3 linked regions of the Kluyveromyces lactis genome follow. The protein of the gene in region 1 interacts with the protein of each later gene in a biochemical or structural test. Links are inferred from orthologs where the notes say so. Each region holds a gene or a part of one and is shown on either strand. Other genes may lie near its edges.

Region 1 (4,424 bases):
AGGTTGTACTCTTTTGAATGACCAGGACTCTTATTGGTGGTTAGTTAAACGTTGCAGTGATGGGAAAATAGGATTCGCGCCTGCAGAACTTCTTGAAACGTTTCCTGAAAGGTTAGCTAGACTGAACTGTTGGAAAAACGAAAATATATCATCACATTCAATTTCTCATAAAGAGGATTCAAATTCAAGCAAAGAATCGAATATTTTGAACAAAGAAGATAGTATTGAGGCAGTTGAGTCCCCGTTGAACGCATACTCAAAAACTAATAAATCGGTTAGCTTCAATAATGTTGTCAGTTATGCTGAAAGATATATTGATGAAATAGAGCAAGAACCATTGGAGGACGACAGCGGAGAACTGAATGGTGCAGGAGAATACGTTCATGATGTGGAATCAAGAGACGGGCAAGACGGGCATCTACACCTGGGAACAGATCTTGGAACTCACTTAACACATGTCGATGAAATACATGAAACCCTTCTGAATGATCATTTGTCAGATGATGTAAGCGAAGTTGTAAGTGATGCTGCCTTCAATGTCCATGAAATGGCACCATTAATGGTGCAAAAAAATAGACCTTCAAAACCTGCCTTGACGGATCTGTTGTCAGAGAAACAAAATGATCTAAAACAAGTCTTTCAAGCTCCCACTATGCCAGTAGCAGCACCAAGAGGTACTTCCCAAATGACAAATTCAAATTCAAATTGTTCCATATCTACAATCGGAGAATACTCGCCTTCCTCTTCAGACTGGACAAATGATTCACCTCAGTTGCTAAGTGAAAAGGAATTCGAGAAGTCTAATTTGAATGATCAAATCCCATCTTCCAGAGCTATTCAAGATATATCGAAAATTGTAAGCTCGCAAGATGCGCCTGATTTGAACTCTCTTCATGATGAAGATTCTCTGCAACATAGTGAATCATTGCCAAAAGTAACTCATAATCACCAGCATTCGATATCTACACTGAATGCTGTAGATATCAACAGTTCTGTCGGGACAGAAAAAACTATTGATATTGATGAAGAAAATAGTATCTTACCAGATGAAAATACAAACGCTTACAGCACCGTTCCATCCTCTATAGCCTCAAGTTGCATGGACCATGAACACAACTCTCCATTAATTTCTGAAGTAGCATTGCATACAAGCACTGGTGTAGTAGGGGATTATCATCCAGTGATTAACTCCTTGTACAACCCTATTTTCAGCAAAATAGATGTTATGATGGACAAGATAGAAAACGCCATCTCAAACTGATATTACCTCCATTCAACGCATTATGTAGCTAACTTTTATAGAGACATAACCCAACAACAGCAATCACTATTGCTTCAGTAATCTGTCTGTGCTCATCTCCTGTTTCAGTACCGAAAGAATAACACACGTGACCGCAGTACTGCATTAGACTTTAAAATTTTTTTTTGGTTTGTTAGCTCATCGCAGAGATATCAAATTCACTAAAAACATTTGAGCAGGAGGAAGCACGGATATTGCTGATAAGGAAGTGGTCAGTACCGTGGAGACTCCATAAACAACCTTGAATCCCAGTATGCCATGGTCACCAGATAACGAAGGACTAACTCAACTTTGTTTGACATTACAACATGCTGTTTCAACTAATTCTGATGAGAGACAGCAAGCACTCGATGCATTGGAAACATTCAAATTAGAACCACAGTTTGCCAATTATTTATGTTACATTTTACTTCATCTTGAGGAAATGGATCAGTTAAGAGGTACTGCAGGTATTCTTTTGAAGAATTGCATATTGGGAGGCAACATCGTTGACCTAGGGTATGTCAAATCAGAAATTGTACGCGGGTTGTGTTTGAATAACAAATTTATTGTCAAGATTACTGGTATTGTAATTGCAGCCTTGTATTCTACTTATTATAGACAGCATAGAGAAGATCCTCAAGGGTTAATCACACTTGCACAATTAATTGAGCTCGCGAGAGACAATAACGAGGGTTCTTTGAAGGCCTTATCCAAAATGATGGAGGATGGTGCACAGTTTTTCCAGTTACAATGGTCGAACAATCAGGTGCCGATTGGAGAATTGGTATCGTTGTTTTTGACTTTGATGGTAGAAGGTAAGACACCAGTAGTCAGATCTGAGAGCATCAACTGTTTGAACAATATTATCCCGTTACAGTGCCAAGAATTATCCGTTAATTTAGATACTTTATTGACAAACATCTTCTCGTTAGCATCTAGCGAATCTTCATATTTAGTCAAACAACAAATTTGCCAGTGTTTGACCCTGAACTTAGAGTTCAGACCAGACAAACTCATGACACATCTACAGGGCATCATACAATTCATGGGACATTTGATTGTTAACACTGATAGAAACGATAGTGAAGAGGAGAAAGTTGCATTGGGAGCATGTGAGTTTATACTTGCGTTGGTGTCGAATACAAACGTACCAGATCATCTGATACAACCTTATGTGCAAGAACTTGTTCCACTTCTTTTGACAAACATGGTTTATAGCCAGGAAGAAATTGTTGTTATGGAAGCTTCCAACGGGGATGATGCAGACTCTGAAGACAAAGATGAAGATATCAAACCAGTTTCAGCAAAAATACAAAAGAAAAATGACGATGATAATGACGAAGACTCTGATGATGACGAAAACTTTGATCATGAATGGAACTTAAGAAAATGTGCAGCATCAGTACTCGATATACTTACCGGCATATTTCCGAAGGAAGTCATAGAAACAGCACTTCCACTACTTAGAGAACATTTGACTTCGGATAGTTGGTACATTAGAGAGGCAACAACACTATCTCTTGGTGCTATGGCTGAAGGTGGCATGAAATACTTCGATGGTCAATTGCCAGCGTTGATACCATTTTTGGTCGAGCAATTGAAAAGTCCATGGTTCCCAGTTAGAAGAATGACCTGCTGGACTCTAAGCAGATTCTCCATTTGGATCTTGGATGATCGTACCGAATTTTTAATGCCGGTACTAAATCCTATCATGGAAACTTTACTGGACAAAAAGAAAGGTGTCCAAGAGGCAGCCATTACGGCAATTGCCACTTTTATCGAGAATAGTGATCCTGATATAGTTGGTACAGTCCTATATGAGCCACTATTAGACAGATTCGACGAATGTTTCAGATTCTATCAAAAGAAAAACTTAATCATTTTGTATGATGCGGTCAGTAGGTTGAGCGAGAAGTGTGATCTTGATGAACAAGCTATTACGAAGTTACTTCCCCATTTATTGAACAAATGGTCTGCTTTGGACGACAATGACAAAGAACTCTGGCCACTCCTGGAGTGTTTATCGTATGTATCAACATCTTTAGGCCCCAGGTTCGCTCCGATGGCTATGGAAGTTTACAATAGAGCTTGGAATATTCTCTGCAGATGTGTTGATTTAGAAGCCAAATCACAAGTTGATCCAACGATAGTGGTTCCTGAAAAAGATTTCATCATAACTTCACTTGATTTAATTGACGGGTTAGTCCAGGGGTTAGGTTACGATTCCAAGGCCCTTTTATTCCCAAATCATGATACCAACATGTTTTCCGTCATCTTGCAATGTTTACAAGATCACAGCCATGAGGTAAGACAAAGTGCATACGCGCTACTGGGAGATATAGCATATTACTACGAGAGGCAATTATTTACAAGCGACTTCTCAAAGCGAATGGTGGAAACAATCGGAAACGAATTGATTCAAAACGGAGAAAACCATGAAGCTGTATCTACTGTCAATAATGCTATCTGGTGCCTAGGTCTCATGGCACATAAGATAGATCTGGGCCCTTGTATCATTGAAATAAGTAGGATAGTGCTGGACCTCTTCTGTTCTACTCAGTTGGTTTTACCAACAAGCATAATGGAAAATTTGTGCATCACCATTGCTAGACTAGCTCATTTCCATCCAGAAATCTTCACACAACCACCTTTTGCAGGCGAAACCCAATGGCACAAATGGTGCTCTATAGCCAGTGAACTCACAGATCCAGAAGAGAAAACCGTCTCTTACACCGGTTTCATTAAAATAATGAACTTAATGGATTTCAATGCCCAAGGCATGCCTTCCGACAAAACCTGGGAGCTCTTTTTCAGAGGATTGCAACAAGATGTCGACATTTCCATTATATCAGAGGACCTCTACGCTTTGGCAATGAGGCTACCAGATCCTTGGCAACAATTGTTAATGAACTCCGGAATGTTTTGAACAGAAGAAAAGCATGATGTATAACCGTCATTGTTAACCAGTTACATAACGAATAGGTTACGACGCTCGTATGTGTAGGCAAATAATTTCGATAACCATACCCTTCCCCTCTTCTCCTGAGGCAAAGAGTCGTAGTAAATCACAACTGTCCAGCCGTTGCAATCACGTGATGCAGTCCTAGGCAAGAGCGTTTTCGGTTTTCTCCGAAAGAATACC
Region 2 (3,561 bases), about 700 kb from region 1:
ATGGCTCTTGTAAGCACCGATCTCCTAATCCAATCACTGGCTTGCTTATCATTTTCCAAGGTAACTATCATGAATGGTGAATCGACAGAATAACTCGAAAAGTCGACATCAACTCCATGCAGATCCGCTAGTGATTCCAATTCTGCTAGACGGAAATTTAAGTGCACCTGCACCATAAACAAAAGATACCGCTTCCTAGCCATAGATGATGGTTATAACTGGCGTTTGTATTAATTCTAAATCCGGAAGTACGAAAAGTGATTAACTGAGAAGTCGCACTTTCGATTAAAGAGGATCTCATCTCATCGCAGCTCATCTCGATATTTCGCTTTCTCTGCATGTTTAGCTGAAGTCGGCGTTGAATGAGTAAAGAAAGGTATATAGGATTTCATTACCCGGTGTTTCTGATTGTTTGGGCGCAGTTTTGGGACGAGTTGTCAAAAAGTTTCTTTTTTTGCAAGGCGAAATCGACAAAATGACAACCAAAAAGGCCCTAAAGCATGAATTTTTCACTAAGAACAGCGAATAATTTTTGGGGCCAAGTTGTTGCCATTGGAAAAAAAAAAAAATTAATTTGAATATAAAAGCAGTACAGGAGAAAAATTGAAGGGGCAGAATGTTTCTTCCTGTTTGTTTACCACTTTCCAGGTGATTAGACAGTCTAAAGAGATAATCAAGTCACTAAAACGAGTTAGGGAAGGATATAGGATTCAAAAGTATAGAAGTACCCGTATATCATTAGCGAATCGAAATAATCAACGGAACAAAGAATATTTACACTGTATTTTTTCTTTTTCTTTTCATTTATAAGATACCGATTGTTTTCAATAGAGTTTTAGAAATTGCAAACTAGGAGAGAGGAACCATTGTTACCGGAAATAGCTCATATTTGTTTTATTTTCGTACTGTATTAGATCTCAGTTATTACTTTATTATCGTCTACTACTACTTTTAACGTATAACATTAAACTTTGCTGTGTGTTGCTGTGTTTAAGCTATAAAATCCCCATACAGACAAAAAGAACAAGGATCATTTAAGTAGAGCGGAAGAGGAACGGCGCAGGAAACTTACACAGCGTTATCGTACTTATATTTACAAACGTTTACTGCAGATTTATCATATTTAGTGTACAGAACTAAGAAAATCCAAGTGGTAAAGTGAACGGTGCAACAAGTAGACGAATAAGAAGAAATTGAAATATTGCATTCAAGATGAGTTTATCAGACGATGAAGATTTTAACGACATCTACGGTGATGAAAATACCGCTCAAACCACGGTGAACAATAACGAGTCGACTTCATCAACTGCAACATCTACAGATAATCAAAATAATACTCAAAGTAATAATAATCAAAATAACGTTAGTAATAGCTCGACAGATGATCACAAAGATCAAGCTTCAACTACCAATAAAGAGGCTAATAGTAGTAGCACAAACACCACCGCGGCAACATCTCAATTAGATCAACTAGCAGCTTTACAGGCTTTGTCATCTAACCTGTCACAACTGCAACAGCAGGTTGCCTCTTCAAATAATCAACCAGATTCTAATCTTGCATCCAATAATGACAAGGCTGAAAACAATAACAAGGAAAACTACAGTGCTTCCGTTCCTGAAATGCTGCAGATGCCTCAAATGCCACAGATGCCAGGTATGCCAGATATGTCACAGTTGCAACAATTGCAACAGACTATGTCTCAATTGCAACAAACTGCATCTCAGCATGAACCAAAGGCTATCAAAGCTGATTTGTCTCGTGACATTAACAAGATGTTCATTGGTGGTCTAAATTGGGAAACCACCGAAGAGGGTTTACGTGATTACTTCAGCAAATACGGTGCAGTCGCTGAAGTTAAGATTATGAAGGACACTGCTACCGGTAGGTCCAGAGGTTTTGGGTTCTTGACATTTGAAAACGCTTCTAGTGTCGATGAAGTCGTTAAAACACAACATATCTTAGACGGTAAGGTTATCGATCCAAAGAGAGCCATTCCAAGGGAAGAACAAGATAAGACTGGTAAAATTTTCGTTGGTGGTATTGGTCCAGACGTCAGACCAAAAGAATTTGAAGAATTTTTCTCTCAATGGGGATCCATCATTGATGCCCAACTAATGTTAGACAAAGATACTGGTAGATCTAGAGGCTTTGGTTTCATTACTTATGATACACCAGATGCAGTTGACAGAGTTTGTCAAAACAAATTTATTGAGTTCAAGGGTAAACAAATAGAAATCAAGAGAGCTGAACCTAGACAATTACAAAAGCAAAAACAACCTCAAATGACTCAACCAATGGGACAAAATATGAGCAACCCAATGCAACAGTATCAGATGTTCCAAAATCCAATGATGGCAGGCGGTTTCAATCCTATGATGGCCACTGGTTTCAACCCTCAATCGATGAACGAATACTACACTAAGATGCAAGAGTATTATCAACAAATGCAACAACAAACTGGTATCGATTATACTCAAATGTTCCAACAGCAAATGCAACAAATGCAACAGATGATGGGTATGATGGGCGGTCTTCCTGCAGGCCAACAACCTTCTCAAAGTGGTGCAGGATCTCCACCAAGCCATTCATCCACCCCTCAACACAACGACGACAGTAATGGTGTCACTACTATTGGGAGCTCAAATAATGGCAACCGTAGTAACAGTGGAGTAGAATCTGGAGATGACTCAAGATACGATAATTCATCAAGCCGTGATGATTCTCGTCGTTCAGGACACAGAGCATACGATCGCAACTCTGATCGTAGCAGTTATGGCTCGTCTAACCGCGACCGTGACAGCTGTCGTGGCCCATCTTCAAACTATCGCGGAGGTGGTGGCCGTGATCGTGATTCCCGCCGTGGTGGTAATGGGTATGGCGGTGGAAGCAGAGATAGACGTGGATACCACCCATACGCCAGGTAATCTGCTTGTATGTTAGATTTATTATAAGGTAAAGAAATCTGCGTATGTAGCCGCGAGCAAGAGGATACTTTGTGTTACTTGTTATATTTGCGATCCATCCATTTCTTTAACTGAGCCTCTCATAACCATGTAATAATAGAAATATAATGAAAGCAATGATTCCTAAGCATCGGATCAAATCACATTCCTTGCTGCAAATGTCACACAATATTTTACCATACTCTGTTTACCTGATTCATGAACGTTAACACGAAGCATCAACGCAATTTTATTCAACTTTTATTGCTAATCAAAGCTTAATTTTATATAATAACATGTAAATCAGTATATATCAATCAAACTTACAGTTTATCAACTACTATTCAACCTGACATTGGACCTCACACCGAATGGTCAGTGTGTGTATATACAGTTGTCAGTATTCATGTATATTTGGTACAGGTTAGGTTGCTTCTCAATCTGATTTTGAATATAGGCAAAAGTGAAAAAATATCAAAATCAATTCCAATTTGACATATACTAGCATTCACAATTACACATGCTCATAGGAATAGAATAGGTTTAGGATACGGAAATACTACACTACTCACGGAGAATTCGCTAACGCAAGTATCTGTCTACACAAATTTGTCAAGA
Region 3 (3,566 bases), on another chromosome or scaffold:
ATCGGGGTGGTTCACTGGTTTATTTGTACCAAAATAATGAGTGGGAACAACTTAAGTTCTGCTAACCATCTGGATAGCGAGAAACTAACAGAATTATTGAGGAAGAAGTATCCTTTTTTGGTGATGTATGATGGGAAGAACGATGTAATAGATCTTGGAAAGTTTTATTTAGGATTTGCACATTTTATGTCGCGAGAAATTACTTTTGCGGAGCAAATCAGCAGCGAATTTATATTCGCCTTCATGCGAATAGACTCAGAAAGAAGACGTCTTGAGCATGATGACGAATTGTTTTCCAAGGCATCCGATGATCTTTTGGCTACAAGAAGAAATATAAACAGATGGGCTAAAGAGTTAGAAGTGCAAATACTTCCTATTGTACTCTCTGCATACCAAATTCTTGCAGGTGATTTAACTGAGGGAGTAGAGAAGATAAAGGAAGCACTTAGGGATGAAACTTTGGATGGATTAGCCATAAGACTCAATATCCTTTCAGCGTATGCTATCGATATTATTAACGAAGTGATAACTATTTATCCGGAAATGTACAACCTGTCGGTATCTAATAAGAGAAGTCTTGGGGATTACTCTCTACACCTCACATTAGCAAGTCTTCTTTTGCAGTCTCTTCATCTATTTGCCGACCTTTGTGAACGCCATCCGAATTTATACCAACGATCGTTGCAACCTTTCACTTATGAACAATTCCAGATAGAATTGCAGGAAAAGTCGGAAGCAGTTACCAAGATCAACGAGGAATACGAGGAACTTATTAAAAGCATTACGACCATAACATTTAACAATGTAATAAATTACATGAAAGACAAGAAGACAAAACTACGAGACACTTCTAAAGAATACCTTTCTAAAGAATAGATATGAAGTAAGAAATTTCGACGGAATTTGTTATATGCATTGCATCTCATCACGAATAAATAAATTATAGCATAGAATCATTCTGCATTTCCACATGGAAACCCAATAATTAACTCCTCTAAATAATGAATACTTCCCTAGAGAAAGCTACTAGCAGTTTTATAAATATGAGAAAGATTTCTAATGCTCATCAACCACTGATCCAGGTCTCTACCTAAAACTGGAACAGGGTCTATTCACTGTCACTATCATATAGCAACTAACATATAATACAGGAGTTAACAACGAATCACGTGATAGCTCGGATAGCAGAGGACATCGTTCTGATTTCTTTTTCTCCACTCAACCTTCTGCGTAATATTCTACGATATTCCGTATACAGAGCCAAAAAAAAAATTGTTTCGGGCTGGTACAAGAAAAGGAAGAACAAGATTACATATACTTAAAACGAAATTAATTACGAATAATCTGAATGATTCTTTAGCAGTTATTTGAACAAGGATAAAAGCTAGTTTTGTTGCTTGATCAAACTAAAGAGGACACAAACCAAGAGTAGCAACATGTCAACTGTACCTGAATATATTGCCAGCAATTTAAAGACTGTCATCTCCGAGAGATTAAAGGTTGTTCCTAATTTCAACGAAGATGTTAACCAAGTCGCTGAGTATATTACACTTTTAATGTCCAACGGTTCCAGCGGTCCTGATATCGTACAAGAATTGACAAGTTTGTTTGATGGTATTAGTACGCAAGAGTTCCAGAGTGTTGTCTCCATTGCATTTACATCTGCAGATCTGTTGAAAGCAGGCGATGACTTGAACACCGTTTATGCAAAGTTGAGTGGTAATTCATCTCAACCTTCTTCAAGTGCACCTTCTGCACCTGTGTCAACTGGAACCGAAACATCTGTAGGAGTACCAGTACAGTCACCACCCGTTTCTGCTCCAGCTCCAAGTGCACCGGTTTCTGCATTTAGCGGGGTAGTAGATGTGTCTGCATCTAAATATAATACGGCTAACGAAGGGAGGTCTTCGCAACGTAACAAAGATTCATCGGCCCATAATGGGACTTCTAGACGTGGTGGTTTCAGCTCCATTAGAGGTGGAATTTCAAAGAGTGCTGGTGTTACCAATAGACGTGGAGTTAACTCGAGATACGGTGCTAACCAACTGGCGATGGCTCTTGGAATAAATGAATCGGAAGGCGCAAATGAAACATCTGGCCATGTTGTCATCAAGAGAGAAGGCCGTTGTCCTGATTTCCCTCACTGTTCTCTAGGAAGGAAGTGCCCTCGTGGACATCCAACCGTTACGTGTCCAAGTTATCCAAACTGTAAAAATCCACCAGGTACATGCACTTATTTACATCCAAATGAAGATGGACAATTAATACAAGAACTAGAGCGTGTAAGAGAAGAACGCAGGATAAAGAGGGAAGAGATGGAAAAGAAACAACAGCAAAGGATCAGTGGTATTGTTGTATGTAAATTTGGGATCATTTGTTCTAATCAAAAATGTCCATTTGGTCATCCAACTCCTGCAAATGAAGACGCAAAGGTTACCCAATTCAGTTGGTGCGAGAACAACTTGCAATGCACTGATCCGACCTGTAACAAGGCTCACAGTTCCTTATCCAAGATTAAGGAAATAAAACCAATCATACACAAGCCAGCACCAAAACCGGTCATTTCTAAACCTTCTAATCCAAAATTCGCGCCAAGATCGGTTGTCCCATTGGAAGAAAAGATTTTGGAACAATGTAAGTTTGGTCCAAAATGTACCAATAAAAATTGTCCAAAGAGACACGCAAGGTCGTCAATCATGTGCCGCGAGGGTGCGCAATGTACAAGAATAGACTGCCTCTTCGGTCACCCTATCAATGAACCTTGTAGGTACGGGGCTGAATGTAGAACATACGGATGTTTATTCCAGCATCCTCCAGAAAGGGTATTGCCTGAAAAGCCAAAAAAGCCTGATACAGAAAACACCAACGGTATTTGGTTCAATCCGCAGCTGATTGGAAGTGGAAATTCCTCGAGTAACGAGAGACCATTTGCTGTACCAGAATCTAACGTACAGTCAGTTCATGCTGGACAAGAAGTAGATGGCGATGCTATGATGATGAGTTAACATTCCAATCTACTCCGCTCTATTTAATGGTGATATCCTTAACTGTTTTATTTGAATTATTATTATAGTGTTATATCTATTAATTATTAAAAAAAAAAAAAGTCTTAAAAGGTAAAAAAATACTGTAAAGTAATAAAAAAAAAAGGTCAACCGGAAGAAAGACTACTGTAAAAAAGAGACTGGCAGTGTTTAAATTCCAGAAGCCTATTAATATGATTGGCGTATCTTGACCTGTACTCTAATGGTCATATAAGAGAAATCCCTTTTACCTTGATTTTATCACTATCTCTTTTTTTTACCATATGTCTTTTTCTCTGGTTTTTCTTGCTACGAAGTGTATAGGACAGTCATATAGTTTCCCTTAGTTAGTTTGTCACGTATATTGATCATTTATTATGATCGATCCTAAAGGGTTAAGGTCAATTATAATGAGTGTGAATATATATGATATGTAGCTTGTGAAGAGAAGAGGAACAATTGGTAAAATGTCAACAATATATTATTGTTTCAGAGAAAACATACTGACAGCTATAAAAAAATATCTATACAGCACAGTTATAA

Evidence for each region.
Region 2: the proteins of KAP104 (region 1) and HRP1 form a complex in vitro, tested with the Saccharomyces cerevisiae proteins (2 studies listed by BioGRID). The link is inferred for Kluyveromyces lactis from reciprocal best matches to the Saccharomyces cerevisiae genes KAP104 and HRP1.
Region 3: the proteins of KAP104 (region 1) and NAB2 form a complex in vitro, tested with the Saccharomyces cerevisiae proteins (3 studies listed by BioGRID). The link is inferred for Kluyveromyces lactis from reciprocal best matches to the Saccharomyces cerevisiae genes KAP104 and NAB2.

Annotation. Positions count from the first base shown.
Region 1 is NC_006039.1:390,615-395,038, forward strand, and holds KAP104 (Kap104p), read left to right. Parts: upstream 1-1,553; coding exon 1,554-4,208; downstream 4,209-4,424. Other genes in the region: protein phosphatase regulator BUD14, read left to right, coding at 1-1,261. UniProt on the Saccharomyces cerevisiae protein: Functions in nuclear protein import as nuclear transport receptor. Serves as receptor for arginine/glycine-rich nuclear localization signals (rg-NLS) and PY-NLS in cargo substrates. Its predominant cargo substrate seems to be mRNA-binding proteins.
Region 2 is NC_006039.1:1,093,362-1,096,922, forward strand, and holds HRP1 (Hrp1p), read left to right. Parts: upstream 1-1,212; coding exon 1,213-2,925; downstream 2,926-3,561. Other genes in the region: TRM11 (tRNA (guanine-N2-)-methyltransferase), read right to left, coding at 1-203; retrograde cargo receptor ERV46, read left to right, coding at 3,561-3,561. UniProt on the Saccharomyces cerevisiae protein: RNA-binding protein, which is involved in the polyadenylation-dependent pre-mRNA 3'-end formation and cooperates with the cleavage factor CFIA complex and the cleavage and polyadenylation factor (CPF) complex.
Region 3 is NC_006042.1:903,951-907,516, reverse strand, and holds NAB2 (mRNA-binding protein NAB2), read left to right. Parts: upstream 1-1,436; coding exon 1,437-3,005; downstream 3,006-3,566. Other genes in the region: KLLA0_F09867g (uncharacterized protein), read left to right, coding at 1-876. UniProt on the Saccharomyces cerevisiae protein: RNA-binding protein involved in RNA processing and transcription regulation. Acts as a regulator of mRNA stability: binds the poly(A) tail of mRNAs and pre-mRNAs, preventing their degradation by the exosome.